4 linked regions of the Diceros bicornis minor genome follow. The protein of the gene in region 1 interacts with the protein of each later gene in a pairwise test. Links are inferred from orthologs where the notes say so. Each region holds a gene or a part of one and is shown on either strand. Other genes may lie near its edges.

The links. The genes of interacting proteins can lie anywhere in the genome.
Region 2: the proteins of SDCBP2 (region 1) and PRPF38A interact in binary tests that used the Homo sapiens proteins (3 or more experiments, as listed by UniProt). The two-hybrid records come from large-scale screens. The link is inferred for Diceros bicornis minor from reciprocal best matches to the Homo sapiens genes SDCBP2 and PRPF38A.
Region 3: the proteins of SDCBP2 (region 1) and C1H1orf35 interact in binary tests that used the Homo sapiens proteins (3 or more experiments, as listed by UniProt). The two-hybrid records come from large-scale screens. The link is inferred for Diceros bicornis minor from reciprocal best matches to the Homo sapiens genes SDCBP2 and C1orf35.
Region 4: the proteins of SDCBP2 (region 1) and TNP1 interact in binary tests that used the Homo sapiens proteins (3 or more experiments, as listed by UniProt). The two-hybrid records come from large-scale screens. The link is inferred for Diceros bicornis minor from reciprocal best matches to the Homo sapiens genes SDCBP2 and TNP1.

What each region holds. Positions count from the first base shown.
Region 1 is NC_080758.1:29,372,486-29,380,425, forward strand, and holds the start of SDCBP2 (syntenin-2), read right to left. Parts: upstream 3,020-7,940; 5' UTR 2,962-3,019; intron 1-2,961.
Region 2 is NC_080752.1:14,733,768-14,741,048, reverse strand, and holds the start of PRPF38A (pre-mRNA-splicing factor 38A), read right to left. Parts: upstream 3,022-7,281; 5' UTR 2,914-3,021; coding exon 2,784-2,913; intron 825-2,783; coding exon 665-824; intron 1-664. UniProt on the Homo sapiens protein: Involved in pre-mRNA splicing as a component of the spliceosome.
Region 3 is NC_080740.1:359,998-367,535, forward strand, and holds C1H1orf35 (multiple myeloma tumor-associated protein 2), read right to left. Parts: upstream 3,022-7,538; 5' UTR 2,956-3,021; coding exon 2,862-2,955; intron 2,626-2,861; coding exon 2,475-2,625; intron 2,348-2,474; coding exon 2,302-2,347; intron 2,205-2,301; coding exon 2,122-2,204; intron 1,922-2,121; coding exon 1,849-1,921; intron 1,706-1,848; coding exon 1,602-1,705; intron 976-1,601; coding exon 835-975; intron 754-834; coding exon 678-753; 3' UTR 391-677; downstream 1-390. Other genes in the region: MRPL55 (large ribosomal subunit protein mL55), read right to left, coding at 5,465-5,614, 5,950-6,204.
Region 4 is NC_080776.1:7,490,581-7,495,987, forward strand, and holds TNP1 (spermatid nuclear transition protein 1), read right to left. Parts: upstream 892-5,407; coding exon 753-891; intron 551-752; coding exon 522-550; downstream 1-521. UniProt on the Homo sapiens protein: Plays a key role in the replacement of histones to protamine in the elongating spermatids of mammals.

The DNA.
Region 1 (7,940 bases):
TTTGAGCCAGAAGTCTGGGAGTTACCCTGCTCTTGAAGCCATACCCAGCTCTTGCCCTCAGGATAAATCTCAAACTTCAACTTGGCATTCAAATCTCCGACTCCTGGTACCATCTCCAATCTCACCTCCTCACTCTTCCACACTCACGCTGCATTTAATACATTCCACACTGCTGATCCCAGAACTCACCCTGCTAGTTCACGCCTACGTGCTTTTGCAGATGCCTCTGTCTTGAATGCCCTCTCCTTCCCCCTTGTTCATCTGGTGAACTGCTCTTCCTTCAATTCTAAGCTTTCCCCCAAATCCCCACATCCACACACACACAGTTAGGCAAGCCTCCCATTTCTAGACCACAGAATCTCATATTCACCTGTTGATCCTTCATTCCACTAATGTTTATTAAGCACCTCCTGTGATCAAGGCCCCCTGCATTTCCTGGGTTGGATTTCCACTGTGTTGTATTTCTTGCCTGTCTCCCTCTCTGGTCAGGAATGTGGCTCATTTCTGAATCCCCAGTGCTGCACCCAGTGCCTGGCATACAGCAGGCGTTATTGTTTCTTTTTTTTTTGGTGAGGAAGATCAGCCCTGAGCTAACATCTATTGCCAGTCCTCCTTTTTTTCCTCTTTTTCTCCCCAAAGCCCCAGTAGACAGTTGTATGTCATAGTTGCACATCCTTCTAGTTGCTGTATGTGGGACGCCGCCTCAGCATGGCCGGACAAGCGGTGCGTCGGTGTGCGCCCCGGATCCAAACCCGGGCCGCCAGTATGGAGCACACGCACTTAACCGCTAAGCCACGAGGCCGGCCCCTGTTTCTTAAAGGAGTGCAAAAGCAGACACAGAGGGCAGAGGAAAGCCCAAAAAAGTCCTTTAAAGGAAAACCCTGGGCCTAGAAAGAGAAAAACCACTGCCCCAATGAGGTAGATTGAAAGGTTGGCTCCTACAATCTGACAGTGGAAGAGTTTGCTCAATTTCAGTGCTGTTGGCTTCTGGCAATTAATTGGCTCCTCTGAAAGGAAAAGAAGCCATCTAACCCATCTATCCCAGAGGCATTTTCCTCTCCCGCTGTGCTTTGCAGAATTTCCATCCCTGAGCTTCTGTACTCTTTGGTATTATAAGCAATAACAACCAACACCCACAACAAAGCAGCAGTCGGGTCCTCAGAGATCAGCAGGGGCTGGCAGCCCCCATCTTTGGAATAAGAACACTCCTTCAGAACACTTTGTTCCAGAGAGCTGAAACTCTGGGACTCCCACTTGTTGCTGTGGACACCTCATCCATCCTTCAGGAGACTGTGCAGGAGGGAGGCATGGGTTAGAGTGTCAGAGGAGTAGCTCCTAGAAGGCCACATTAGCCCCGGGGTATGGAGGGGTGGGAAGGAAGAGGCTGCTGCTAGGCCACCAGCATGTACCCCCTCCCCCCAGGGCTGTACTGCCTGCTGGAGAAGAGCTGTGGACTTCAAGGAATGCAGAGGCTCCCAGTCCAGGCCCAGGAGGGCCAGGGCAGGAGCAAGGATGTTGGAGGCAGGCAGTACCGCGTTCAGACTGCTGCCTCTGACGGGAGAGCAAGCATGGACAAGTCCCTTTTGAGTGTCATTTCTTCCTTTGTGATATGGGTAACAATACTTGCATCACAGAGTTACTGTGGAGATTAAAAGATTCTTAAAAAGAGGTCAGATGTGTTTGGAAAGCACCCAGCACAGTACCTAGCACGTAAAGGGCATGCAGTAATCGTTAGCTATTGTTCATTTATTCAGTACATGTACTGAGTGTCCAAGTCCCAGTACTGTTCTAGGTACCAGTAATAAGGCAGTGAACAAAAGAAAAATCTGTCCTTGCGGAGTGTCACTTTCTAGGTAGATAAATAAGTGGGTATGCTGTGTTAGATGGTGGGAAGTGATGGGGAGAAAGATAGAGCAGGATGGGGGATAGAGACTGTCAGGAGGTCCAGAAGAGTCTCACTGTTGGCGGGGAAGGTGGGTGGAGAGTGACTTTTGAGTAAAGTGGTAGGGAAGAGCATTCAGGCTGGGGCTTAGCCGCTGTGGCCGCCCTGTGGTGGGAGTGCCTGTTGTGACCAGTGAGACTAAGTCAGTGTTCAGAGGGGAGTAGCCGGAGAGGAGGTGGGAGAAGTGGTGTGAGGGCCCGATCCTGTAGGGGCTTTGGGGCATGGTGAGGACTTGGCATTTACTCTAGTGAGATGTGAGCCACTGGAGAATTTTGAGCAGCAGGGTGGCGTGGTCCAACTTCCATTTTAACAGGCCCCCTCTGCTGATGTTTGGAGAGCAGACTAGAGGGGCAAGGGTGGACGCAGGGAGCCTAGGTGAGAAGCCATGGTGGTGTTAGAATTGTTACTAGTTTGGGCCACTGGGTGGGAAGCAGCCAGTGTGGTGCCGGCCTGGCACACAGCAGCCTCATTTTAAGCACCATATTCTGAAACTGCTGTGTGGAGGGCACATATTGATGTCTTAGGTCATTATCTCATTCAGTTCTGATTGCGTGGGGATATTTCCAGTCTCCAAATGAGGAAACCAGTTCTCAGAGAGGTCAGGCCACCGGCCCAGTTCCCCAGCAGATTTTCCCTGCCATGGTAGGACGTTGTTGGTAGAAATGGCTTCAGGCAAAGAAGTGAGTAACAGAAGCTGAGGATTGGCTCTTTGCCTGGCCTTCCAAGGCCTACTTCAAGGAGCAAAGTGGGGGTCCGACCTCCTTGAGCACTGTCATACGCAGTCAGAAGGAGCCGGGGCCCTCGTGATGTTTGGATAAAGGTCACTCAGCCCTCACTCCTGGCCCAGGGCTGGAGTCAGAAGAGGAGACCCCAGTCATACTTCCCTCCCAGAGTGAAGCACCTTGAGAAGAAACTGCCTGGAAGTCCCAGAAGGGGCGGGCCAGGGTGGGAATGAGGCAGGTAAGAGCAAGTCTCGCTTCTCCCTGTCCCAGCCACGACGGGCCCAGCCCAGCTCTTACCTGCAGGCCAGCTGCTGCTGCACGTCCTTCTCCCGCCACTGCCCAGAGTGTCTGTTCCTCTCCCTGGAAAGTGGTGGCCCTTGTCCCAGCTGAGTTCCTGCTCTGGGAAGGGTGGCGCCTACCCTGCTCAGCTGACTCACCTGGGACTGGGATGGGCCAGGTAAACAAGGCAGGTGGCCAGGCCTGGAGGAGGACTTTGGCCTTACTCTAGAAGTGGAGGTGGGTTGGGGGCACACACAGCTGCTGCTGGGAGGGGTGTGAACAAGACTTGGCCTTGAGGAAAGTGGATTTGGATTGGACACCTGGTCCTGCTGAATGTGAGGGGAGTTTGATGGGTATCCAGGGTCTTAAAAAATGGCCAAACCTTGTGACCCAGTATTGCTGCTTCTAGGAACTTGTTACAAGAAAATAAACAAGTAGGCAATGAGGGCCCATCGCTGTGTGGCTTATAATAGGGGAATCTGGAAATCCCAAATGCCCATCACTAGGGTCTGGCCCAATAAGCCAGTTTCTATGGAAGTTCACCAAGCTGTTAAAGTCGCTTAAGGAAACACACCATGAGGAAATGTTCCTGAGATACTGCAAGATATTGAAAAATCAGAATTGCGGTTCTGATTTTGGGTTTGGTTTTCGTTTTTGAAAAGTGGATGAGTACTGAAAACAGTCTGGAAGGAAATATACTAAAGTGCAGAAAATCTGGATGGTGGTGGGATTGTGGGTGTGATTTTTGGTTTGTACTTTTGTGTAGATTCCAAGGTGGTGGGATTTTGTTTTGTTTTGTTTTGAAGTTAGTTTTTGCTTTGAATACTTACGATTTTTTTAAGGGAGGAGCAGCAAATTAAGTTTAATTGTTTTAAAGAGGAATTTAGGGGGCTGGCCCTGTGGCGTAGTGGTTGAGTTCGTGCACCCCGCTTCAGCAGCCTGGGGTTCGCAGGGTTTGGATCCTAGGCGTGGACATACACACGGCTTCATCAAGCCATGCTGTGGCAGTGTCCCATGTGCAAAATGGAGGAAGATTGGCACAGATGTTAGCTCAGGGACAATCTTCCTCACCATAAAAAAAAAGGAATTTAGGGCCGGCTCCGTGGCTTGGCGGTTAAGTGCGCGCGCTCTGATGCTGTCGGCCCGGGTTCGGATCCCGGGCACGCCCCAAGGCACTACTTCTCTGTCCAACCCGAGGCCGAGTCCCACGTACAACAACTAGAAGGATGTGAACCTATGGCATACAACTATCTACTGGGGCTTTGGGGGGAAAAAAATGAATAAATAAAATCTTTAAAAAAAAAAAAAAAAAAAAGGAATTTAGATTGGTTGTCTCCAGAAAGGGGAACTAAGGGGGCTGTGTGCTGAGTTGGGAGGGGGTTTATTTTTATAGCACACTTTTTGGTGCCTTTTAAAGTTTGAAATATTTGAATGTATTACCTATCCCAAAAAGAACCATATAAAATTAAACAGAAAAGGGGGAGGAATTTAGTTTAGGTCCTGGTGGGTTTGGTTGGACAGAGGTGCCTGTCACACATGGTGCCTGGGGAGGGCCTGGGACCCATGTGCTGGGCAGTCCCATGAGGAATGACGCAGGGCCCCCACCCAGGGTGGGGCTGCTCACCAGGCCAGGCAGACTCACGTCACAGTCCTCGTGACTAGCTGGGCAGAGGTGCACTAGCCTTGGGTGTCAGATCCTGCCTGGGGGCCCAGCTGGTGTTCAGCCCCATGGAGGAGACACTGCCAGCCTCTGAGAAGTTTACAGCCGAGAGTCCCACACAGGAGCCCCGATAGGAGCAACAGCAAGAAAGGCAGTCGCCACCAGTTGAGCACTTACTGCCCGCTGAGCGCAGAGGTGCTGCCTGTGTGCCCGGCAGCTTTAAAGGCACTATCTCCATGGTGTGTATCATGCCTGTGAGGTAAGTAGAGAGGCCAAGTCCATCTCAAAGTACACAGCCAGAAAGTGGCTCCAAGGTCATGTTTTCTCTTCTGTGAGACAAATGCTTCTGGAAGCTCAGGCGTGGACACAGCCTAGGGCTGAGCCACAGGAGCCTGAAGCTTGAGGTAAACCATAGGTGGACTCGCCTTAGTCCAGGTCTTCAAGGCCAAAGAAAAGTAGAAAATGGAGACCCTAACTGAGCCAAGTGACCCCCCACACACACACCTGAGTTCACTCAGTCATGGTCTGAAAGGGCCGTTAAGAGAAGACCGAGAAGGAGACCAGCCCAGAAGGGTAAGGGCCTTGCCTGTGGCCACACAGCACGTCAGCATAGACGAGGGACTGGAAGCCAGGTCCCCTAACCCCCACCTGCGTGCAGGGGCCCTTTTTCATTCCATGGTGTTATAGCCACCTCCCATTTCTAACTTCTCCCCTTATTCCAGGCACCAAGAAATATCTCATTGGGTATGCCCTTGCTCGGAGTCTTCCGTGGTTCCCAAGTGAAAGGGGGTGGAGGGGGAGGGGCAGGGTCAGGCCTGACACTGAGGCCTCCGTGGTCCACCCCTGTTATTACCTTTTCACCTTCATTCCCCCAACACCTTACCCCAGCCAGGCCAGAATCCTCTCTTCTCCCACCTCCACCTCACACCCACTTCACACTTCCGTACCTTTGCCTGTGCTGCTGCTTTCTCCTGAAATGCCTTCCCCCTGCCCCCACTCCACCTAGCCAAGTCCACTGAGCTCCTCTTCCAGGAAGCCTCCCTGATCATCCGCATCTGTGTGGCCTGCCCCAGCTCTGAGCTCTGGGTCAGGCTGTCCTGTTCCTGTGGACCTTAGGCTACCAATTAGACCCTAAGTTCCTTGAGGGCAGGGCCTACTAATTAGATCTACAGTGGCTATTTTCAAAATAAAAATTGGAACTTGTGCTCTGACCAGGATGTATTTCTGCTTTGTTATATGCATTTGTATGAGTAGTCTTCAAAAGTCTAAAACACGGGTATCCAACATGCAGCATACACGCAGAAACTCCCTGACAGCACCCTGCCAAGCCCAGAGCTGGCTCAGAATCCTCATAATGTGACAGGCAGCTGCTGCCACCTGGATTTGACCTGTGAGAAACCTCTGTGCCATCTGGAGTGGGCACGCCATGAGGGTGGGGGCTTGTCGGTGGGGATCTTATCCCTAAGGTCTAGCACCATGCCTAGCACACGGTCGGCTCTCATTAAATATTTATTGAATGAATAAATGCCCCTCCAAGAAAAGTCACTCTTAGTTATAAACTGAAAGGCTCACTCCTGGTCAAAAGATGGGCTGGGCTGGGCTATCAGTCTGAGCTACAGTTTCCACATCTACAAGCCTGCTTTACAGGCTTGTCCTGACGATTAAATGATTTCATCATGTACAGTGCCTGGGACACTACTGGCACTCAATAGATGTAAGTTTCTGACTTCCTCTTGGAATCAGCCCAGCTACAAGTTACAGAAGCACAAGTCATCTGTTCAAGTGAAAATGGAGATGCCCTTCCTGGAAGAAGCGGGGATGGTTGCTGGGTGGGGAGCTGCACCAGCTGTGCACTCCTACCCTCTGCGTGGAATCTGGCTGTGGCAAAACCCAGGGTACGTCACCACAGCTGCCTCCACACTACCGAGTGATTACAACAGGGGGAGCTCCTGCTGGGCACGGGGCATAACCCCGTCTCAGCTGTCCTTCACAGCACAATTCAGAGAGTGACGCACCTTGCCCAAGGCCACACAGCCCAGTGGTAAGGCCAGGCCTGTGCTGAGAACGGAACGAAGCCACCTGAACTCCAGGAGTCTCCCATCCCCACAGCTGAGTCATAGATTTCCCAGGTGGCAGCTGGGGGCCCTAGTGAGTCAGAGACCCATCACTGGCTGATGTCCCCCACTCCCTCACACTTGTCCGTCACATATTCCCACCCAGTGCCTCAGCCTTTGACTGGAAGCATGGACGCCGGCTGGAGACCCTCACCTCTAATGTCCTCAGGATACCCGAAAGTGATGATATCCTGAAGGGGGCACAGCTTATCGCATGGGCTGTGGAATCCAGCCTGCCTGGACTCAAATCCCTACTTTTAGGCCATGTGACCTTGGGCAAGCCAATTTACCTCTCTGGGCCTCAGTTTCCTCACCTGTGAGATGGGGATAATGACTTCACTTTGTGTTTATTAGCACAGATAAAGTACTCGCACAGAGCCTGGCTCATGAGAAGTGCTAACTAAATTTGAACTATTTTAATACTCACGTTACTAGATTATTGCATTATCCAAGTGAGAAAAATGTATCCATTGCTCTTCTAAATGTGATTGAAGGTCAAACACAGAAACTACCTGCATCCTTTCTGGAACACAAGTCCAGGTTGGACTCTCCCTGAGACGGTTACTATAGAAACTTCCAGTGAGAGAGAAGCTAATGTCTGGAGAGACCCCACTCCTTCCCCTTGGATCCTCTATTTCTCCAAGTGCAGTGGCCCCAGCCCCCTGCAGCAGAGACCTCTGGGCAGGGGACACTTGTTAAAAATACAGATCCCAGGGGCCCACCCAGCCTTGCTGCGTCTGACTCTGGGAGTGGGTCCAGGAATGGGCATGTGACTTACCTTGCCAGGTGATTCTGATGCAAATTACAACCATTGTCTTGCTCCTCCTTCCTGACTCAGTTTCTTCTCACATCCAATGCCTACAATGTGTTAGGCAAGGGGCAAAGGGCTTTCCATCGCTCACCTCTTTTTAACCCCAAAACATACACAAAGTGACAGTTGGGGTGCTGTGACATAAGGAAACTGAGAGGTGTGCTGTGGGCCCAAGATCACACACGTGGTAGGTCGTGGAACTGGGATTCAAACCCAGAACATGACTGCATTCCCCTTGCAAATGTGCACTCTCCCATAAACGCAGCTTGTGCCACCCTCATTACTCTGGGCCTGGGTCTAATTTTGTAATTTCCTGGCGGAAGCTGCTCGCTCCAGCCAGCTCCTTGGCTAGAGGCACAGGAGGAGCATCTAAATACACAGGCAACTTGGGGTAGGAGAAGGTCAGCAGTTC
Region 2 (7,281 bases), on another chromosome or scaffold:
CAATAGATGTTAGCTCAGAGCCAGTCTTCCTCAGCAAAAAGGGGAGGATTAGCATGGATGTTGGCTCAGGGCTGATCTTCCTCACAAAAAAAAAAGAATGGATAATAAAATAATAAGAGCAGCTGACATTTTTGAGGTGTTTACCATGTACCAGGCACTGTGTTATGAGATTTACCGTACTATCTTCTTTATTCCTCACAACAAGCCTGAGTTGGTATTACTGTCTCCATTTTACAGGTAAAGAAAGTAAGGCTTAGAAAATTAAGTAACTTCTCCAAGGTCACAGTTAATAAGTAACAGAGTCTGGACATGAATCTACATCTAACATCAAAGTTTTCACTTTTATCTACCACACTCTGTTGTTTTCTTCACTGTTGAGTATCCAGTGCTCCCAACATGTTAGGCACTCACTTCTGCTTAAAATATGTTAAGTGAGTTTGTGAAATACTTTTTGGTAGGAAAAATTACCGGGACGGAGAAAGTAAAGGACAAGATCAATACAACCAGAACAGACAAAATACAAACTCAAGAGCTCAAGAGCAAGATCCTAGAGTAGAACTCTCAGTGCAAAGGAGACACATTGTTTTCACTCCTCTTAAGCAAGGCCAAATTCTGGACCACCAAAATTGAAGCTTTTATATTAGCTAGTCAACATTTCACTCACTTGAAATCTTCATTTTTGATAAACTCTACAATGATATCCTTCTCGGGTTGAATTTGAAGCATCTTCAAGGTCAAACACAGAAAGGGAGTTGGCTTTATGTTGCCACCATAGACACCACCCACAAACCTTAACTCCATGGCTTTATCGACTACAAGTTCAGCTAAAAAAACAAAAACAAAAACAAATAGAGTGGCATCTCAGACATATTAGGGCTAAGCTTTTCCCGGTTTGAAGTGGAGAGAAGTTAGTTCAAGGTTTGGTCCTCCTGAATACTCATCAACAGTTTAAGATTAGGAGAACAAGTGTGTATTAACAATAATAGTAATAATAATAATAATGATAGCAGCTAGTATACACTTAAGGATTACTATATGCCAGGTATTCTGCTAAGCATTTCATATTTTCTCATTTAATCTTCACAGCAAGCCATGAGGTAAATTCTAGCACTGCTTCTGCTTTTAGCTAAGGCAAATGAAGGCTAAGAAAGGTTAAGTGACTTGCTCCAGGTCCACAGCCAGAAAGTAGCAGGGCCTGGATTCAAATCTAAGCAGTCTAACTTCAGAGTCCCTGCTTGTCATCATCATGTTAGGGGAAAAATGGCCAGATTAGGAGCTAAAAGAAACAAAACAATAACAACAAAAAACTCCTCAATAGTTACATAACCTTGAGCAAACCTCTTCTCATCTACAGAATGGGGATAATAACCTTTCAACGTTTTTGTCAAAATCAAACATTAGCAGTGTGAACTAGGGCAAGTCATTTCACCTCCCTTTGAGTCTGTCAGTTCAAATTTGAATAATAAAGGTACAAAGTTTAAGGGCTACAGTGAGAATCAAATGAGACAATACAAATAAATGTTAATACCTACCTGTCACATAGCAAATAATAGATGTTAGCTACCATTAATGGGAAATCATTTTATAAATCAGACTTCAAGTTCCTTTAGGATAAATTCTATATTAATTCATTCAAAATTACAGTTGACAACTTATAGCTAGGTGCTAGGTACTAGAGATACAGGTAGAGGAATAAAGAAGAGGGACACGATTACTGCTCTTAAGGAGTTTATAGTCTAGCAAGCCAGAAAGCATTGAAAAATAATTCAAAGTGTGACGAGTAGTTGAAAGAAGAGGCAGAATGCAATGAAAATACAGAACACGGGAAGGTAACCTGGTACTGGGGGGAAAAGAGGTCATGAGTTCACTTTTGGACATACTGAGTTGGTATTCCTGGAATTAGAGATTTAGATCTCAGGGTTGGAGATCTGGGTTGGAGAGAGAAATTTGAAGGTATCTACGTATAGGATGTAACTGTGGTATGGAGGAGATCTTCCAAGGAGAGAACTATGGAATGTGAAAACGGCCAAAAGTAAACCTTATATGACTTCAAAATTTAATGGCGACTCAGAGAAACAATATGACTTGTCCATGGACAGACACACAGCTAGCGGTGGTGGCAGCAGCAGTAACAGCACAGTAGCAGTTAACAGTGGTAACAACTAGCACCATCACTACCACTGATTACTGAGTACTTTTTATTAATATATATTTGTGACCATACCATACACTTTTAATACATTATTGTATTTAATCCTTAAAACAACCCTTTGAGGTGGGTATTACACTCGTTTTAAGATAAAGGAAGCCATGGTTCACTGGGGTAACACTGCTACTAGAAGAGCCAGAATTCAAAGATTGAAAGACTAGCTGGAAGACGTTTTTGAAAACCGACATTTACATTAGGACCCGAACGTGGATATACTGCAAATGGTCCAGATTTAGGGATAGTAAGATCATGAATTTGGTTTCCGGTATGTTGACGTTCCTTTAAGACCTTCAGGGTCTCTGAACTTAACACTGTTTGGAACCCAGCAGGTTATCATTAAACATGGAATGACTCAAAGAACCCAACCGAGACACCTTTCCGAATAAGGCCCTATCAGATTCATCTGTGTCCCCCAAAGAACAACACAAGTCTAGGCACATAGTAGGCGCTCAGATTTTTCCGAATGACTGACAAATTTCCCTCCAGTCTCACCCCCACGGGGCAAGTCTACCCGCGCCCAGTCAGCCGAAGTGGGCCACAAGTCGGCCGAGGGGCGTCGCGCGCTCCCGCTCACCCGTAAGGCCAAAGCACTCCTCTTTCCAGTACTTGGACTCATAGATTCGCGTCCGAATGATCTTCTCCACCAGATACTGAGGGTTGGTGCCGTGGATGCTATGCGCATCCTTCACTGTTCTATTCGCCATTTTAGAACGCCTTCAGTTCTATTTCCGTCGGGTCCTTGAACGCGTCACATCCCGGTTACAGAAAACCCGAGACGGATGGAGAAAGGTGGAGGAAGTCTCACTACACAGCTTAGGCGACCGTCTGGAAACCGGAAATGCTGCAGCGTAACGAACTTCCTTCCGCGAACGGCGTCGGCGACCGAATCAATGATGGCCACCGCACGTTGGCCGACTCACGTCATACGTCCCCTCCCAGTGGGCGGGGCGGGTGATGACGGAACGTTTGGCGCGAAATTTTCTTTTTTCCACCTTCTTTCCATCCCTGGCGAGCAGCTCGCTACGGCTCGGGCGTGCGCACGGCGCCCTAAGAGGAGCCCAGCTGGGGTGGGTTAGAGTTGCTGCAGCTCCACGAGCTCTTGAAGCGGAGACGGTGGGAAGCAGAAGGTTCGCACCTACTTCCAGGAAGCTTCCGGGCCCGGTGAGTGTGGTGTCCCGCGGGCTGGAGGGCGGCGACCTGAGCCGCGGGGACGGAGGAAGTTGTTCTCTGTAGACTCACTCAGTCGTTGATTCAATCAGCAGATATTTACTAAGCGCCTGTTGAATGCCAGGCTCTATTCTAAGCCCATTAGGAGCACGACTCTTCCACATCCCTATTTCTCAAAGGCTTCCCGCTCCTCCAGGGACTGCGAGTTTGCGGTGGGGAAGCCGGAAGCCAACAGCAGAGAAGCCTGAACATTCGTGTCCTCAGCGCCCTGAGACTCTCAATAATGGTCTTAACCATCCCTTCTGTCTGCATTGCGTTTGTGAAGCATTCGCATCTTTTCCTCCTTTGAGCTGTAGTGTAGCAAGCACCACAGGGAAGTCGGAGCCGCAGAAGTTATCATCCCATTTTACGGTTGTAGCAAGTGCGCAGAGAGAGAGACTTGCTGAGGTCGCTTTTCGTGACTCTGCGGCCTGGGCTCCTTTTTCCAGATGAGCTGCTCTTAACTGCTGGGCTCTCATTCATCCACCTTTTCAGGAGAGAAGTCTAATAGCATCTCTTCTACCTCCTCTAGTCTAACCCTAGAATAGAAAGTCCTTCTATTTTGACAGTTGGAAAAAGCACTGGACTTAGAGGCATGAGATCCGAGATTCTTATCCCGGGCTTCTGTCTGTGAAACTGCAATGAGTAGATATGTCAGATTTCGATTTTAGTTGTTTATAAAAATGGTACCCTCTTCTCTGCTGTATTGGGTTCTTGTGAATGCCGATGGAGGTTTCTGATGTGAGAGCATAGTTTTACTAAGTCCCTTTGCAAACAGTTTTTAACTGTAACAGAGGGCAATATGTGGACTTTAGAAGGTTTATGAAACTCCTGAAATTGAATGCAAAATTTTGTGTGAGTTGTATATGTTTCATAACATTCATCGAATTTGTAAGGGGGAAAAAAAAGTAGAACCACTATCCCTTACAAATAAATGCAAGGGATTAAGGGAGTAGGGGAATGAATTTACCATTTTGCATTTTCTCGCTTAGTCCTCAGTAATCCTAGAATAGTGCCTGGCGCACAATTGGTGATCAATAAATATTGGTTGAATAAAAGGAAGATTCAATTATTATTCCCATTTATGGGTAAGGAAATTGAGGCCCATTTGACCTCTCAGTCACTGGGAACCCTGACTTGCTGAATAAGCACACCAGAAGCAAGCTCTCTCAGTCATATGTTAGCATCTACTTGCACACAAGGTGCTGTAATGTGAAGTGGTTAAGAGCACAGTCATTGGAATCAGGGTTTAAATTAAGGCTGTGCCGTCCTGTATAACATTGGGACAAGTTATCATCTGGAAGTGATGATAGCATCTACCTTTCATTCAGCAAATATTTATTATGAGTACCTACTATGCGCTTAGTGTGTACTAGTGCTGTTCTAGGATTATTGTGAGGATTAAATGAGATAAATATATCATGTATTTTGGCTCCACCTTCTGTCATATTGGCTCAATAAGTATCTGCTATCATTATTTTCACCGCAATTCCCTTATCTGTTTTCCTTGGGTGTGGCCCCTGGACTGGATGGTGTGTATGTTCCAGATTTCTGGTATCTGTAACTAAGAGAGCCTGTAGTTGGTCGGGCCTGCCATTCTACCCCATTCATCACCCCTCTTGGGGATTCTCTCTGCTGGTGGTAGATTGAGGGTGAGAAACTGGGGTGACAGTCCAAAGAGGCCTGACATCTACTATGATTTTCTTATGCTGCCTCTTCAGAAGGACTCCTGATTAATTTTTTGAACTTTTTATTGAAAAATAACATACATACAGAAAAGTGCACAAATCATAAATCATCAGTGAGTTTTCTTAAAGAGAACATACCCATGTAACCAGCATCCAGATCAAGAAACCACATGACCTCACCCCAGAAGCGCCCCTTTTCCCCACCATGCTCCCTTTTAGTCACCTCGGTTACCTTCTATTCTGACTTCTAACACCATAGGTTACTTTAACCTGGTTTTGAACTTCATATAAATGGAATCAATATAGTGTGTATGCTTTTGGTGTCTGATTTCTTTAGCTCATTGTTATTTTGTGAGATTTTTTTCCCCATGTTGTATGCAGTTGTAGTTGGTTTCGTTTCATTGCTGTATAGTACTGCTATAAACATTCTGGTTCATGTTTTTGATGATATGTATGTTTTTGTGTAGGGTATATTCTGTGGGAATTGGTGGGTCATAGGATATGTATACGTTCAGTTTTACTAGATACTGCCCATTTTCCAAAGTAATTTTACCAATTTACATGCTCTTCAGCAGTGTATGAGAATTCTGGCCATTCTATATCCTCACCACATTTGGTGTTGGCCTAATAATTTTTAAAACCTGTTCATTCATTCATTCATTCACTTATTATGTCTCAGGCCCTGGGGATGCAGTTATGAACAAGATAGACAAGGTCCCAAGATCTCTGCTCTTTTGGAAGTTAACATTCTAATGTGGGAAGCAAATAAATAAGAAAGTAATATAATGGTTGTTGCTTTGATAATAGGGTGGTATAATGGAACATGACCCTAAGGGGCAGTGTAAGGGGGTGGGAGGGTAACTTTCATTGGCTATCAGTGAAGGCCTCTCTGAGGAAGTTTCATTGGAGCTGAGATCCGAGCCATCCCTGTAAAGATAGGCAGGAAGAGAGAACAGCAACTGCCTAAGTCTGAGGGCACTAACAACCTTGGTCTGTTTGAGGTTTGGAAAAGCAGGTCTGGAGCAGAGTGATAGACCAAGGTGAGGCAGGTTAAGTGGTCCAGGCCCAGATGGCCTTCCTCCCAATACCCCTGCCTGCTCAGCCTAGGGTGAATCCCCCACCCTTGCACTCATATAAGCATATACTGGTCTCATTGAACACAGCTCATGATCTCTTGGAAAAGAAATGTTAGATTTTATCTTGGCTTGGTTTTTGAAGGAGGATGCCTGCTTTAGTAAGCTGAAATACGGTCTGGATTTAAAAGAGTTGAGAGCATGGGTTTTGATGCCTTAGGTATACATGTATCCTTATAGGTACAGAGGCAGTCCTTCTGTATGCCAATTTTTAGTTTGAAAAAATGAGATCATTGTGCCAGTGTGATCAAATATTATAGTCAAAATGACAAATCAGACCATTTATCCTACAGTTAGATTATTCAGGAATTGTAGAAAGTTTGCTGGAGTTACCAATTTGCTGCAAAGCACTCTAGGATAGTCCAATTTTTTTAATGACAGAGTTTAGTGTGAGTACTGCAATTTACTTGCATCTTTGGTCTGTGTCTCAGTAGCCTATTTTGCCTGATTTCATTGTGGAAAGGTGAAAAGTTCAAGTTTACTTCGGACAGTTCTGTGTTACAGCATCCATTATAAGGAACACATATTGAAGGTAAGTTAGTGTGTTATATATTTCCTTGAACATTTATTGAGATTCAAACACTTTTACTAATTTTCACCAAAAGATTATTGGATATTATGAATATAAGTTCATTTTAGATTGATTTTAATAGTACTATGTTGTGAATTATACTCTTAATATTCTTTTTTGTGTGTGTGTGAGGAAGATGGGCCCTGAGCTAACATCTGCCAATCCTCCTTTTTTCTTTTTTTTTTTACTGAGGAAGACTGGCCCTGGGCTAACATCCGTGCCCATCTTCCTCCACTTTATATGGGACGCCGCCACAGCATGGCTTGCCAAGCAGCGCGTTGGTGCGCGCCTGGGATCCGAACCGGTGAACCCCAGGTCACCGCAGCGGAGCGCGCGCACTTAACCGCTTGTGCCACCGGGCCGACCCTCCTCTTAATATTCTTAATAGGAATCATTCAGGCATCATTTCTAAGCTGTGTATTTACTAGTGGCTCAATATCTTCTCTTCTTTTTGCTAAATAGTTTCCACAAAGT
Region 3 (7,538 bases), on another chromosome or scaffold:
GGCAGATGGCAGAGCTGTGGAACAGTGGGCAGGAGGTCCCTTGGTGGCCTTGTGGGGACAAGGGTGGTTCCGGGTACAAGTCCACCCCCCACCATGATCTAAAGGCCCAGCCTAGCCTTCCACTCCTCTCTCCGTGCTCGCCCACCTGCAGCTGGGTACCTTCTGGCTCCTGTGACCTCCCTGCTGGCCAAACATGATGACCCAGGGCTCCCGGTGCGCCTGAAGTCACTTTCAGGGCCAGGCCCACATGAGGTCCGGAATGCCAACCGCCAGGACAGTTCCCCCTCCCAATGGGGCATCAGATGTCTCACTGGAACCCAAGACAATCGCCACGTTTTCACACCTCCTTCTACTGTGACACATGACAATGACCTTCCCTTAAATACGAGATGTTTTCTCCTTAAAATAAGTTTATTTAAGTACAAAGAGTAAGTCAACAGAAAGAAAAATAGAAATGTAGCTGTGTTTAGCTACAACTAAGCATCTCAGGGGTCTTGGACAGCTGGACCTCCCAGGCAGGCACGTCCTCCCCTGCTGGGTCTGGGCCCCTCTCAGCTCCCAGCAGGGCCCCTGCATGCCAGCCCTCCAGCTCCTGGGCCAGGAAGCTTCGCTGAGGGTGGGCCTCTGGGCAGGGCCCACAGAGCAGCGTGGTGGGGCAGGGCCCCAGCCACTGGGCCTCAGTCACCGTCTTGCCGTCGCCGCCTCTTGCAGCACGGTGAGGAAGAGTCGGAGTCATGCCTGCGGTGCCGGGGCCTGGGGAGATGAGGTGACGCCCACAGGTCTGAGGGCCGCCTGCCCCACCCTGCCCGCCCCCCAAGGCAGAGCTTTGCCTACCCGGTGGGAGTTGGGGGTGGCGAGGAGGCCGCCTCCGCTCTGTGTTGCTCTTCTTTTCTCCTTTTCTCTTTCTTGTGCTTCTTCTTTTCCTTCTTCTTCTTCTTCTTCTTCTCTTTCCTCCTCTTCCTGTGGCTCTCGGGGCTGTGGGGAGTACAGAGTGCCGGGAGCCACTGCGCCTGTGGAGCTCACCGGGGGGGCAGGGCCCAGAGCTTCATGTCAGTCTCCAGGACAGCCACTGACCATGTGTGCTTATGTCGCTCTCAGGTCAGTATGTGAAGCTCCTCAGTATGACCTGCGCCAATGGCTGCCGTGATGGGCGGTGCAGATACGGGCATCCCGTCATGGCAGAGGGTTCTGCCCAGCAGCACCAACCCAATGGTCTCACGGCCCCTTCCAGCCCTCCCTCCCACCGAGCTTGCCCACACCCTCCCAGCCAGGCAGTGAGCCCTGCCCTGCACCACATGCAGCTCCTGCGGCCTAGAGGACAGCAGGAGGCGGTGGTGGGCCCGAGGCCTGACTACAACGTCCCCTGTCTGGCTGCCCTCCTCCATGGCCCTCTGCCTTGCTGCCCTGGCAGCTCTCACACCGTGTGGCTGCCTGACCCCTGCTGTGTGCTGGAGGACAGTCATGGAACCATTCCCAACTCCCAACCCGAAGGGGCTCTCTAGAAGGAAAAAGGGACTAGAGCTAGGTACCTCACTGACAGAAGAGGCAGCCAAGTGCAGAGAGAGAGAACCCTGCATTCTGTTCCCCAGGGAGGCCCTTACCCCGGCTCCGTCTTCTCCTCTGATCGAGGTTTCTTCCGGGCCGAGGCCGGGGAGGCCCCTGGCCGACTGCTCTCCACGCGGTGGTGCTGCCGAGGGAAGCCACTCTGGGGGTGTGCAAGGCACTGAGATGCCGACCGCGGAGAACCAGCCCCGGTTTTCAGAGCCAGGAAGCCGGGAGGCCGCCCCCTACCCTCAACAAGAAGGACCCAGATGCCCTCCGGGATTGCGGTTGTTTGGGGGTGATTACCGTGAACACGGACAGCCCCAGCTTAGCAGCCTCCTTGTCTTCTCGGGACAGTGCCACTCGGCCTGCAGAGCCACTACAGGGACACGAGTGAGACCCGCCCCCAAGGTGAGACCCCCTCACGGTGAGAATGCACCCAGAGTGAGACATCCGCCCCCCAAAGTGAGAACGACCCCAGGGTGAAACACACACACACACACCCCGCCACCCGCAACAGTGAGACCCACAGGCCTCCGCTGCGCTTCCTGGGGCCCCAGAGGACCCCTGGCCCCGCACCTGGAGCTTCCCAGGCCTAAGAGCCGGTCCACTCCCTTCTCCTCGGGGTCACCTCCTTCCCGCTTACAGACCTCGACAAAGTCCTGTGGGGAGTGAGGGAGCGCGGGCGGCAGGGCTAGAAGCAGCGCGGGGTCAGCCCCACCCCCTCCCGCACCCTCTCCCAGAGGACCCAACCCTCACCTCCTTACTCAGGCCCGTGGGCTGCTTCCTCACGTTCCTGTAGCCTCTGCGGGGGGCGCGCGCGAGCTTCAGGGAGCGGTGGGCCTCACCTCGGCCCCCGCCCCCACCATGGCCCCGCAACCACCCTCCCTAGCCGCCCGCCCGAGGTCCCCCCTCACCCCGGGCGCACTCACAGCGCCGCCATGAGCGCCTCCTGCTCCGCCTGCCTCACGGCAGCCAGCTCCTGCTCCCGGCTCAGCCCCGCGCCGTCCGCCCGGCCCTTGGCGTACCAGGTGAGGTCGCGGCCCTTCTGCCAGCGGCCCACCGGGGCCATCAGCGAGTTGCCTGCGGGACGGAGCGCCGAGGACTCGGCCCGCGGGTCGGCGCGCCCCTAGGCCCCGCGGCACCCACCCGCGCGCCCACGGCCCCCGCGCCCCCCGCGTCCGCGCGCTCACGGCCCCCGCGCCCACGACCCCGGAGTCCCGGCGCCCAAAGATCCCGCGTCCCCGCGCCCACAGCCCCCGCGTCCCCGCATCCACGGCCCCCGCGTCCCCGCGCCCACGGCCCCGCGCCTCGCTCACCCAGGTAGTTCTCCCTTTGCTTGTCGGTCTTCACGTCCTCCCAGCTGAACTGGTCCTGCCCGCCGCGCACGCCGCCCCGGCTAGAGCCGAACATGGTGCGAAGCCGCCCACCGCCCTCGGGGCTCCCGGTCCCCGGGCTTCTCCGCCCCCGGCAGCGCCTGTTTCCGCTCCCGCGTCGCGCGCCGTGACGTCACGCCCGCGCCAGCCCTGCGCGCCTGCGTACTGCCCCGCCCCGGCCCCGGACCGCGTGCAGAGATGCGGAAGCGGGAGCCGAGCGCCTCGTCGGCGGGATGGCTGTTGTGGGAAGTCAAGCATGTGGATGTCCGGGCGGTGCCAAGAAGGGCGGTGTCGCCCGGGTCCCCGCTGCCGTCACCGACGACCCGGCGCGTCCCGGCGATAACGGCCCGGGAAACCTCGGCAGGGCTGCGGCCCGCGGGACGCCGGGCAGGGTCTCCGAGGGACCGGGACAGGGTGTCGCACGGCTGTCACCCGCACGCCCCGAGCACGCGCACACTCGCTGCCTCGGCGTTGCCCGGGCAGTGGCGAGGGAAGTGAGAACAGGCCGTCCGCCCAGCTCTCCTCTGACCCCGCCTTCTCTGACTCCCTCGCCTGCATTTTGGGGGCTCTGGGGCTCCCAACGTGTGTCATGCCCTACCACTGAGTCCTCTCGGTGGGGAAAGGCTTCCACGTGTGGCCCGGAGAGCACAGGCTCGCCTGGGTGGGCGTCCACAATGGGTGCTCCAGGTCTGCCCCTGCTCCCGCTTAAGGTCCCGCAGCATGGGACAGCAGGTCCAAAGCCACAGGCGTGCCTTCTGCGGGGTCCCAGCTCAGGCAGACTCATCACCGAGTCCCTTCACGGGAGGAAGGAGCCTGGCGTGGCAGGAGGGTGTGGGGCACGGCGTGATGGCGGCCGGGATGGGCGAGGCAGGCTCGGGAGGCAGCCCTGCGATGTTCGACGAGGACTAGATGCTGGGAGGAGCAGGGTGCCGTCAGTGGCGGGGATTTGCACATTGGGGGTCCTCAGCGCAGACAGCATTTGAACTCCCTAAAGCGGGTGGGGTGACCAGGGACGAGAGCAGATGGAGGAGGCCTCGGAGGGGCTGGGGGTCGCATCAGGAGGCCCCCACGACCTAGAAGGAGCTGGCACAGATGGGATTCTCTGCTTGAGTGCTCTGTTCTGGCTCCCCGGAGCCCTCCAACCAGGCCTTGGGCTCTGGGTCCATTTCTGCCTCCCCCGGCTTCCAGCAAGAACCCTACTGTCAGCTTACCCAGAATCCTCACCCTTGGTATCTCATCAGCTTCCTTGTCCCCCTTGGACAAATGACCACCCAGCCTGGTTTCAGCAACAATCCCCTTACATGGGTTTAGCCAGAACCACCCCCCATCCAAATGAGTCCCCTTAGTAATTTCCCATCGCCAACCCCATCCTGCCCCTGGGCTACAAATCCGTACTGTCCATGCTGTACTCCATCTCTCCCACTGCTAGATGCCCACAGTGGCCCCTGCACCCACGGCTGTGCCCCAACCCTGAGCAAAGGGGGGGGCTCCAAGAAGGCTTTCCAGGTGGGAATGAGGCAAGAACTGCAGGGGAGACGTCCCTGAGCAGGCAAGAGGGCAACGACTGGAGGGCACAGCGACTGGAGGGCACAGACACAGGTGCAGCTGCACCTGGCCGCTGCTCGCAGTGGACCAGCGGGTGAGGGCTGCAGGAGGAGTCCAGAGGTGGGTGCTCAGCCCAGCATCCTTCCCCACCAGCTGCAGTCAGATGCAGTGACCCCCCCCATAGGCTGCCAGCTCCTGCCTCCCTGCTCATGCCTGGAACGCTAGCCCCCATCCGTATGGGGTGGTCTGCAACGGGCTCTCAGATTTAGGAGAAAAAGCCTGACAGCCAGGGTCCCACAACGCCCCAGAGCCCGAGGCCCCAGGACAGGATGAGGAGCAACCCCAGGCCTGGGCCCGGGCAGCTGCACTTGGAAAGGTCGGGCATTGCCCCCTTGGGTCTTGCAGGAAGCCTGGCCAGGGTGAAACCAACCCCTGGAACACAAAAGTGTTAGTGAACTGTGGAAGGCCTGGCTCACTGCAGCTGCAGTGGGCTGCAAACCAAGGGCAGTTAGCCACAGAGACTGGGCGCTTCCCCTGGCCCCTCTGTTCTCGCTGTGTCAGGTAGGGCTGAGGTAGCCCAGGGAGGGACAGGCAGGCCTGCTGCAGGCTTCGCAGGGTGTCCTTGGATCCCAGGTATCCGTCTCTTCCCACCCACTTTCCACAGCCACTGTGCCCCGAGGCTGAGGGCAGCACTGGGGGCAAGGGGGCTCTAGGCTCCAAGGGGCCAACTCGGGTGGTGGGCACTTCCCACACAGGAAGGAGCACCCATAACCTCAGTCTTGTTTCTCCCATGTGGATGGCTTACATGCCCTGTGGACCTCGTCCTAAAACACAAATTGACCCAATTCTAAGCATTCTAGTTGGCTGAGTCGCAGAGAACCCCCTCACGGCTGGGGGTGGGGCAGACAACAAGGAAAGACAGGCAGAGGTGGCTTCATGAACACATGATTTAAAGACACGTCCCCCCAAGTGTCCCAGGCCTGGGCAGCTTGCAGGCACGGTCACTTTTTGGTCCAAAACCGCTTGTACCGCTCCACGTCAAAGTCATCAGCAAGCTCTGGCTGCTCCTCCTCCTCTCTGAGCTGGGCCTCCTGTTTCCGGAACCTCGCCCGCCTCTCCGCTGGGGACAGGGCATCCAAGTCCACAGGCATCTGCAGGGAGGGAGGGCACTGGGATGTGCTCACGCCTCCTGTTCTCCTCCACTGCACAGGTCAGGGTTAGGCGGCCTATGGCGTTCTCTCCCTCTGGAACTTTGACTCCTTTAAGAACCTTTTTGTGCTTATGCTCCCAGGACTTGGTTCTTTTTAAACCCACAGCTCCCTGCTGCTGTGTGATCTCGGTGCATGGAGTGAGCCCCGGGTTCGCCTCCTCCCCATCCTGGTTCACACAACAATCCTGCTGCGTGGCTCATCCTCCCTCCCCATGCAGTGGGGTTCCAAGCCCACTAGGACCTGCAACCCAAGGAGCGCTAGGGAGAGAAGCTTACCGCCAGCATCCGTCGAGGCTCCCGGTATCGGATGTGGATGGTGGAGCCGTCCTGCTTGACCAGGAGCACAGGATAGAGGCGTGCATAGGCCTGCCGGTGCACGCGCGTGAGCCAGGCTCTGCTGCTGTCAGCCCTCCGGGAGGACGTGTGCAGGCGGCGGCCCGCGGGGGTGGCCCCCATCACCACACACTGCCGCACCAGGCTGCAGACACACACGCGCTGGTCAGCGGCTGGTGCTGGGACCAGAGTGCCCATGTGGCCCAGGCTGGCCAGCTCCTATAGGGGCAACCGGCAACCCAGGCCAGGCCAGGATGTGGTCAGAGCAAGTCCTCCACCACGTCCAGGAAGAGGCCATGGGAGTGAGCGCACCACAAAGCTCCCAGATGGCTAAGAACAGAGATCAACAGCCGTCTCTAATGAGGCTTGGCCATGCAGCTCAGGTGCTGCATACAGGCATCGGGAAGGAAGCTGACTTCCGGGAGAACAAAGACCCAGTGTTATGGGCTGAACATTTGTGTCCCCCAATTTCACATGTCAAAACCGTAAGCCCCAATGAGATGGCATCCATCAGGAGTGAGGCTTTGGGAGGTGATGATGATTAGATGAAGTCATAAGTACGGGGCCCCCCTGTAAGAAAACAGAGACCAGAACTTGTTCTTTCTAACATGATACAAAAAACCAGCTGTCTATGAACCAGAAAGACAGCCGTCACCAGAACCCGACCCTGCTGGCACCCTGGGCTGGGATCTCCAGCCTCTAGGATTGTGGAAAATAAGCCACCTGGTTTGCGGCATTCTCTTGGGACAGTCTGAGCAGACCAAGACACCTGGAGTCCCCTTGGCTTCTGAATGTGGCAGACACTCGCCCTCCAAAGAGACAGGAAAGGGCAAGGCTAGGCCCCATTCACACTGCTCTATCTGGACGCGTGACCCCACACCTGTCTCTCACCCACTTGGGGCCTCGTCCCAGCCTTGCCCTGTGACCCCCAAATCCCTTGCAGCCCGGCTTTCATGCATTGGACTCACACCCGAAGCTGTGCCACAGGCTGGGTTGGAGAATGAACGCGTCTGAATGACTGCCAGAACTTTCTGGAATTGGTGGGCACTCCAGAAGTGGCCACGTTCTCCCAGTGTTCTTCTGGACACGCACAGTGGGAAGATGTCCTGAATACTTGCCACAAGCCTCCCCTCACACCACCCCCCCACCTCCGCCACCCCCTCACCACGTGGGCAGTCTAGTCCAGCCCAGACCATCCCAATGGCCTGCCTGGTCCCCACTGCCACTCTAGTCGAGTTCCCATACTCTGCGGGTGGTGATTCTAAAAACTTGCTGCTCACGTCACTCAGTAGCTCCCACCCAGCTTTCGGGACCTCTCCCTCCACAGGCCAGCCCACCTGAGCACAGAGCCCCTGCCTTGGGGGGAGTTCCGCCACCCCTGCACTTCCCGAACCACACCTTGGACTGAGGGCTGATCTCCTCCACTAGACTCTGATGGCCTCAGCGCAAAAAACTGCTCGAAGTCCCAGAGCCCTAGCTGATAAATTTTGGCAGAATGAATCCAGTCCCTGCCTTCAGAAATGGGAGAAAAA
Region 4 (5,407 bases), on another chromosome or scaffold:
GTGTGTCATCCTGTGCTATAAGTCACTTAAAACCAGCTTGTATCATGTGGCTTGTAATTGGCACTCTGATGAATGCATTTCTCCCATAATCTCTTCTACCTTTCCATGTTGGAGAGGAAGATAGTGCATCAAGACCAAGACCTAAATAGGGTGATGGTGCACAGCCATAGTTGGGGCACATGGGGAGACTCAGAAGGATAAATTACTTTGATATTTTCCAAGTCAAGTTTAATGATCTCATACTGGCCAATTCTTCCCCAAGTCTGCCTAGCTCAGGAACCCCTTTTTGAACAAAAAGATCAAAGGAAACATACTTTTCAGTTTTCAAAATTTTATTGAGACGTTGGGGAGAAACAGCCAACATATACATTCCTCATTTTGTCATGATTGGCATTTTATCCACCCGATAGGCTCTCTCTGGCTTTGATCTGACTTCAGGTCTCCTTGGCAGTCCCCCTTCTGTTGTCCTCTCCCTGCCTGGCGTCGCTTGAATTCCACCAGGGCAGAGCCTGCTGCTGGGGTCACACGTGGGAGCGGTAATTGCGATTGGCTGTGGGGGAAAGACATGTTTGCAACAGGGACACCAGTTAGAACATACCCTTTCATCCTCTTCCCGCCCAAATGTGAATTTAACTGGAAATGAAATTCTCAGGCTGAGATTTCAGGGTGCTACGAGAGCTAACTCCAAGAAAGAGGGCCCCTGGGCAACAGGTTCCCCAATTTGACCCCTCTCCTGCTCATCCCTCACTCACCATCATCACCCCGTTTTCTACTCTTCAGGCTGCCCTTCCGGTATTTTCTTTTGCCGCCACCTCTCTTGACTCCCTTGTAGGGAGCTCGGTTCTTGCCCCTCCTCATGCCATGACTCTTTAATTTGCGGCTGGTCGACATTGTAATTTCTGCCAAAATGGGGGGCTTTGCAGGGCCCGGAGGCCGTGGGCCTGGGTATTTAAGGCTTTAGCCATTGTGACTGTGAAGGGGCGTGGCTCAGCAGGTGGGCGGGGCTCCATTGTGATGTCACCAGCCTTTGTTACACTTTGGTCATATATGTGAAATAAGGTTGCCCCTTTAGTGCAGCTCAAGGCTACTTTCAATTTTGAGGTCCTTTTTATGTTAAATGAGGCTTTCCAGACAGGAAAGTTTATTGAGTGACTAAATTCCAGCCCTGTGCCAGGCCTCTGAGGAGTACAAGAGACCATTAGAATGCATCTCCTGCCTGTAGATGTAATGTAATGGTTGTTGAGTGTGTGTATATGCATGTGTGTTTGAGTTTCTTTTATAGCATTAGGAGATAACAAATGTATGTCTACAAGAACTTGACTCTAGGAAATCCAATTCAACATGGTCAAAATATAAATATTCCTTCTCTTTCATCTAAATCAGAATTTTTCAACCTCAGCACTGCTGACACTCTGGGCTAAGTACTTTTGTGGGACTGTCCTGTGCATTGTAGGATGTTTGGCAGCATCCTTGGCCTCTACCCATTAGTTGCTAGTAGATCCCCTGCAGATGTGACAACCGAAAATGTTTCCAAACATTGCCTTGGAGGGAGACAATGTTCTCACCCTTGGTTAGAACCATTGGCTTAACCACTTAAAAAATTCAGTAAGCAAATATTTATTGATCTCATAATACATGCCATGCACTTAGGTGCTAGGAAAATAGTGGATATGAACAGACATAAACTCTGTGTTCATGGGGGCTTTCAACCTAGTTAGGGAGAAAGCCATTAATCAGACATCTACACAAACTCAGTAAATAATTACTTCCCAATGTGGTGCAGGATAATTACATCCTAACATGGTGCAGGATAAGGTTGGAGAGAGAGGCAGAGACCAGACCAGGCTCAAGTACGTTGGGAAACTGTGGAACAATGTTTAAGAGGATGATGTGATGGGATTAGAGGCTGCTGGGTGGAGGATGGGTTTATGGGGAAGAGAAATGAATAGGAGAGGCTATTGCCAATAGTACTGATTCAGGAGAGAGATATTTGACAGTGTCTTAGGCGTGGGCCAGGGAGAGTGTTGATTGGGATATAGAGATGTAGACAGGAGACAAAGATGTGCTGGTGGATTGGATTTAGTTGGTGAGAGCAGAGAGTGTCAAAGGCGTGGCTTTTGTTGCAGTGTAATGAAGCTATCTGGATGCTAGTGCCACTCACTAGGATAAAGGCCAGGCATGGGGACAGCGACGAGCCTGCATTTGGTCTAAGACATATCAGGTTTGAGGTGCCTTTGAGATTTCTAAATAGAGATACTGAGTGATTGTTGGGTATATGGGTCTGGAGATCAGAGCAGAAGTCTGAGCTGAAGATAATCCACCTTTCCCAACCTCCCTGATGTTGGATTCATCATCTAACCTTTTCTTCTTCCTCCTTTATACTTTCTATTGAGTCCTTTTGAAACAAGTTTTAGTGAACTTGATAACTATTTCTTCTTTCTGTCCCTCCCATCATCCTCATTCAAGAACCAAGCACCTTGCATGTGGGAAGTTCTTAGCAAAAGTTTGTTGAAAAGAAGAGAGAATGTGGTTCAAACCCCACTCTCTGTATTTCTGATGTCTATAGATAAGATTTTGAAACCCAGACTCCTTGAGGAGCCATCATAAGTGAGACACTTTCCATTTTCCTGTGTCCAGGCAGGTCTCTCTGGAGACCTTCTGTTGAGACTGTTATTCACCCAGAGAGGGAGGGGGTCTGTGAATCAGGCTGCTACCATGACTCCTTGGATCCTGGGAACTTTTCTGTCCACTCCAGCCTAGAGGTTCCTCCTACAAGCAAGCTCCGTGGAAGCAGGAATTTAAAAATTGTGTTCACTGCTGTATATTCCCAGGACATTGAACAGTCCTGCCACAGAGTAGGAGCCCAATCAGAATTTGTGGACTGTTTGTTGAATAAATAAAAAGTCCTTCTATTTTTCTGACTATCCTATTCCACTCCATTTTTTCCCACCTCTCCAAGGAAAATATCCCCGATTTTTCAATTTTTCACTGTCCTTTGAAAGTTGTCCTAAGTCCATGGGTAATATTGTCCTCAAAGTCTAAACAGTCAGCCCTAACTATGTGAAAGGCTGTCTTTTGTGCCTACATTGTTGTGTCACGTTGGTGAGTCTGATTTCAACAGGAAACAATGTGTCTTGGCTCTGGCCCTGACTGTACTATGAGCATCACTTCTCCGGACTCAGGTCTCTTACTTTGTAAATAAGCTGGTCGGGTTAGGTGATCTCTGAGCTGATCTGACTTTTGCGGTACCTCCTTGTAGTTAGGGCTGTAGTTTTTACTTCTACTGCGTTTCCCACAGGTACTGACACGGTCTATAGTAGGTGGTCAATAAACATTTGTTCACTCTAGCTCCTAGCTACTTTGGTGTTTTGAGGACAGTTTAACACGGAGTGGCTTTGTATACCAAGTGAGAGCATTTCTACATAAGGAAGGGTTTTTCTAGATAAGGGAAGCATTTCTAGATAAAAGAACATTGTCCCCGTAACAGGCCCTCTGGTGCTCCATGTTGGCCTCTCATGCCTGAGCCTGCTGGCTAAAACGTTCACAGAGGAACTGGCCTCTTTAGTTTGAGAGGCATTTTCTGGATGGTCCCGGAGACTGGATAATATTTCTCTCCCCAATCCCTCCCATCCCCAAAAGACCCACTCTGCCAAGGAGAAGCTGAGATCACAGGTTAGAAGGCAGCCAGACTTGAGAGCTGATGAACCAAATAAACAAAGAAGTCCCCTTTGCCTAGGGTTAAGGAGAAGGTCTGGTTTCATACACCATGCTGAGAAACTCAAGCAGCAGAAAGCCCAGTGTCAGGGGAGGCAATTCGCAGGCCGGTCGGGAGTGGGGTTGTGGGGGTGTTTGGGTTGGCTTCTGGGTCAGACCTCCTGGAGTGAGGACACAGCAGGGTTGAGCATTAGGCACTGCTGCCTGTCTCTGTTTCTCTTTCCATGTCTGCTCCAGTGTTGTTTGAGCCAATGGCAATTTAGATAGAGCACAATGAGTTCCCTCCTCACCCCCAGTGGACCCGGAGCTGGCCTTTTCTTGAGAACTGTCCGTTAATCCAGTCTGCTGACCGTCTCTTCACCCTTTCTTCTGTACTCTCTTTTTTATTTTTCTTTTTGGATGAAGAAACTGAGGTGCAGAGCGACTATATGAGCTAATTCAAATAACCCCGCACAGGAGTAGCAGAGACCCTCCAGTAAACCTGTTTCCTCCGTTCTATGGCTTCCTGGTGGATCTTAGCTTTTGTTTTTCTTGATGAAAGGAAATAGATATTTTCTGATAGCTACTGGGACATAAAGAGAGAACTTTATGAATTCTTGTCTTTTTTAGAAGAAGAGCTATCAGCTCCTTCTCTTTTGGGGCTGAGTGCTATCTTGCCTGGAGACAGGGTGGATGGACAGGATGGTGTCTTTATCTCCTAGAAGGATGGCCAAAGTGGCATTGCAGGGAAGGGCTTGGAGGCCTGCGCTCCCACTGGTCCCTTTCTTAGGTTAGGAAGGGGCAGGCTTTGGGTGTCTAGTTGGGTCCCATCTTGCCTCTCCAATTCAAACTCACTGCACTAATTTTCCTGGGGAGTCCAAGGGCTGGACTTCCCAGGGCTGAGTCTTCCCAGCAGGCCAGGAATTGGGGCTTATTAAGAGGGAACATGGAAAAGTTGCTGACAGTCCTCACACATGTCGATGACTCAGACTGAATCCCTCTCTGAAACCTAAGTCTCTCCAGATGTTGACCTCAGCTGGGAAGTGGGGACCTTCTACTCTGTTCACGTGCACACCCTGTCTTCTCTGCTGTTATTGCTGCTGCTGCTGTCCAGACAGGCAAGGGGGGCTCAGGGACAGGCTGGTGGGGGCGAGAGCTGCAGAGAGAGGGGTCTCACCAAGGGGCAGAGCTCTCTGAGCTCAGGACTCATCTGGTGTCTCCAGTAGGGAATAAAGAGAAACAAAGAGCCCAAGGCCAAGGGGTGGTTTTCAGAGAAAAAGGAAGAAGTGACCTCAACTCCATTCACCTCTTTCTAATCAGTTCTGGGAAACAAGGGAGCATCTTGGTTCTGAGGATGGTCTGGGTTTTGCCTGAAGATTTGTGGGGGTTCTCTCCCATTTTTCCTCCAGACTGGTCTCCTATGCTTTCTGACTGCATTCCTAAACCGTCTTTCCATAAGCAATTCCTGTTTTCTAGGAAGAAAGAGATTGGGCTGCTAAAAGGCGGGAGACTCATCACGTGAGTGGTGGTCCTGGGAGGCTCCTCAGGAACCATCTGGCCCCTCTCCTTTGGGAGGTCAAGACGCTTGTCTAAGGGCTTCACCCAGGCAGCGGAAGAACCATGGCTGGACCCAAGATTGCTGATTCCCATGCTGAAGACTGCCCACCACTCCATACTGCCTTCTGTACTTGACTTAAAAATAGATCTGGCCTTG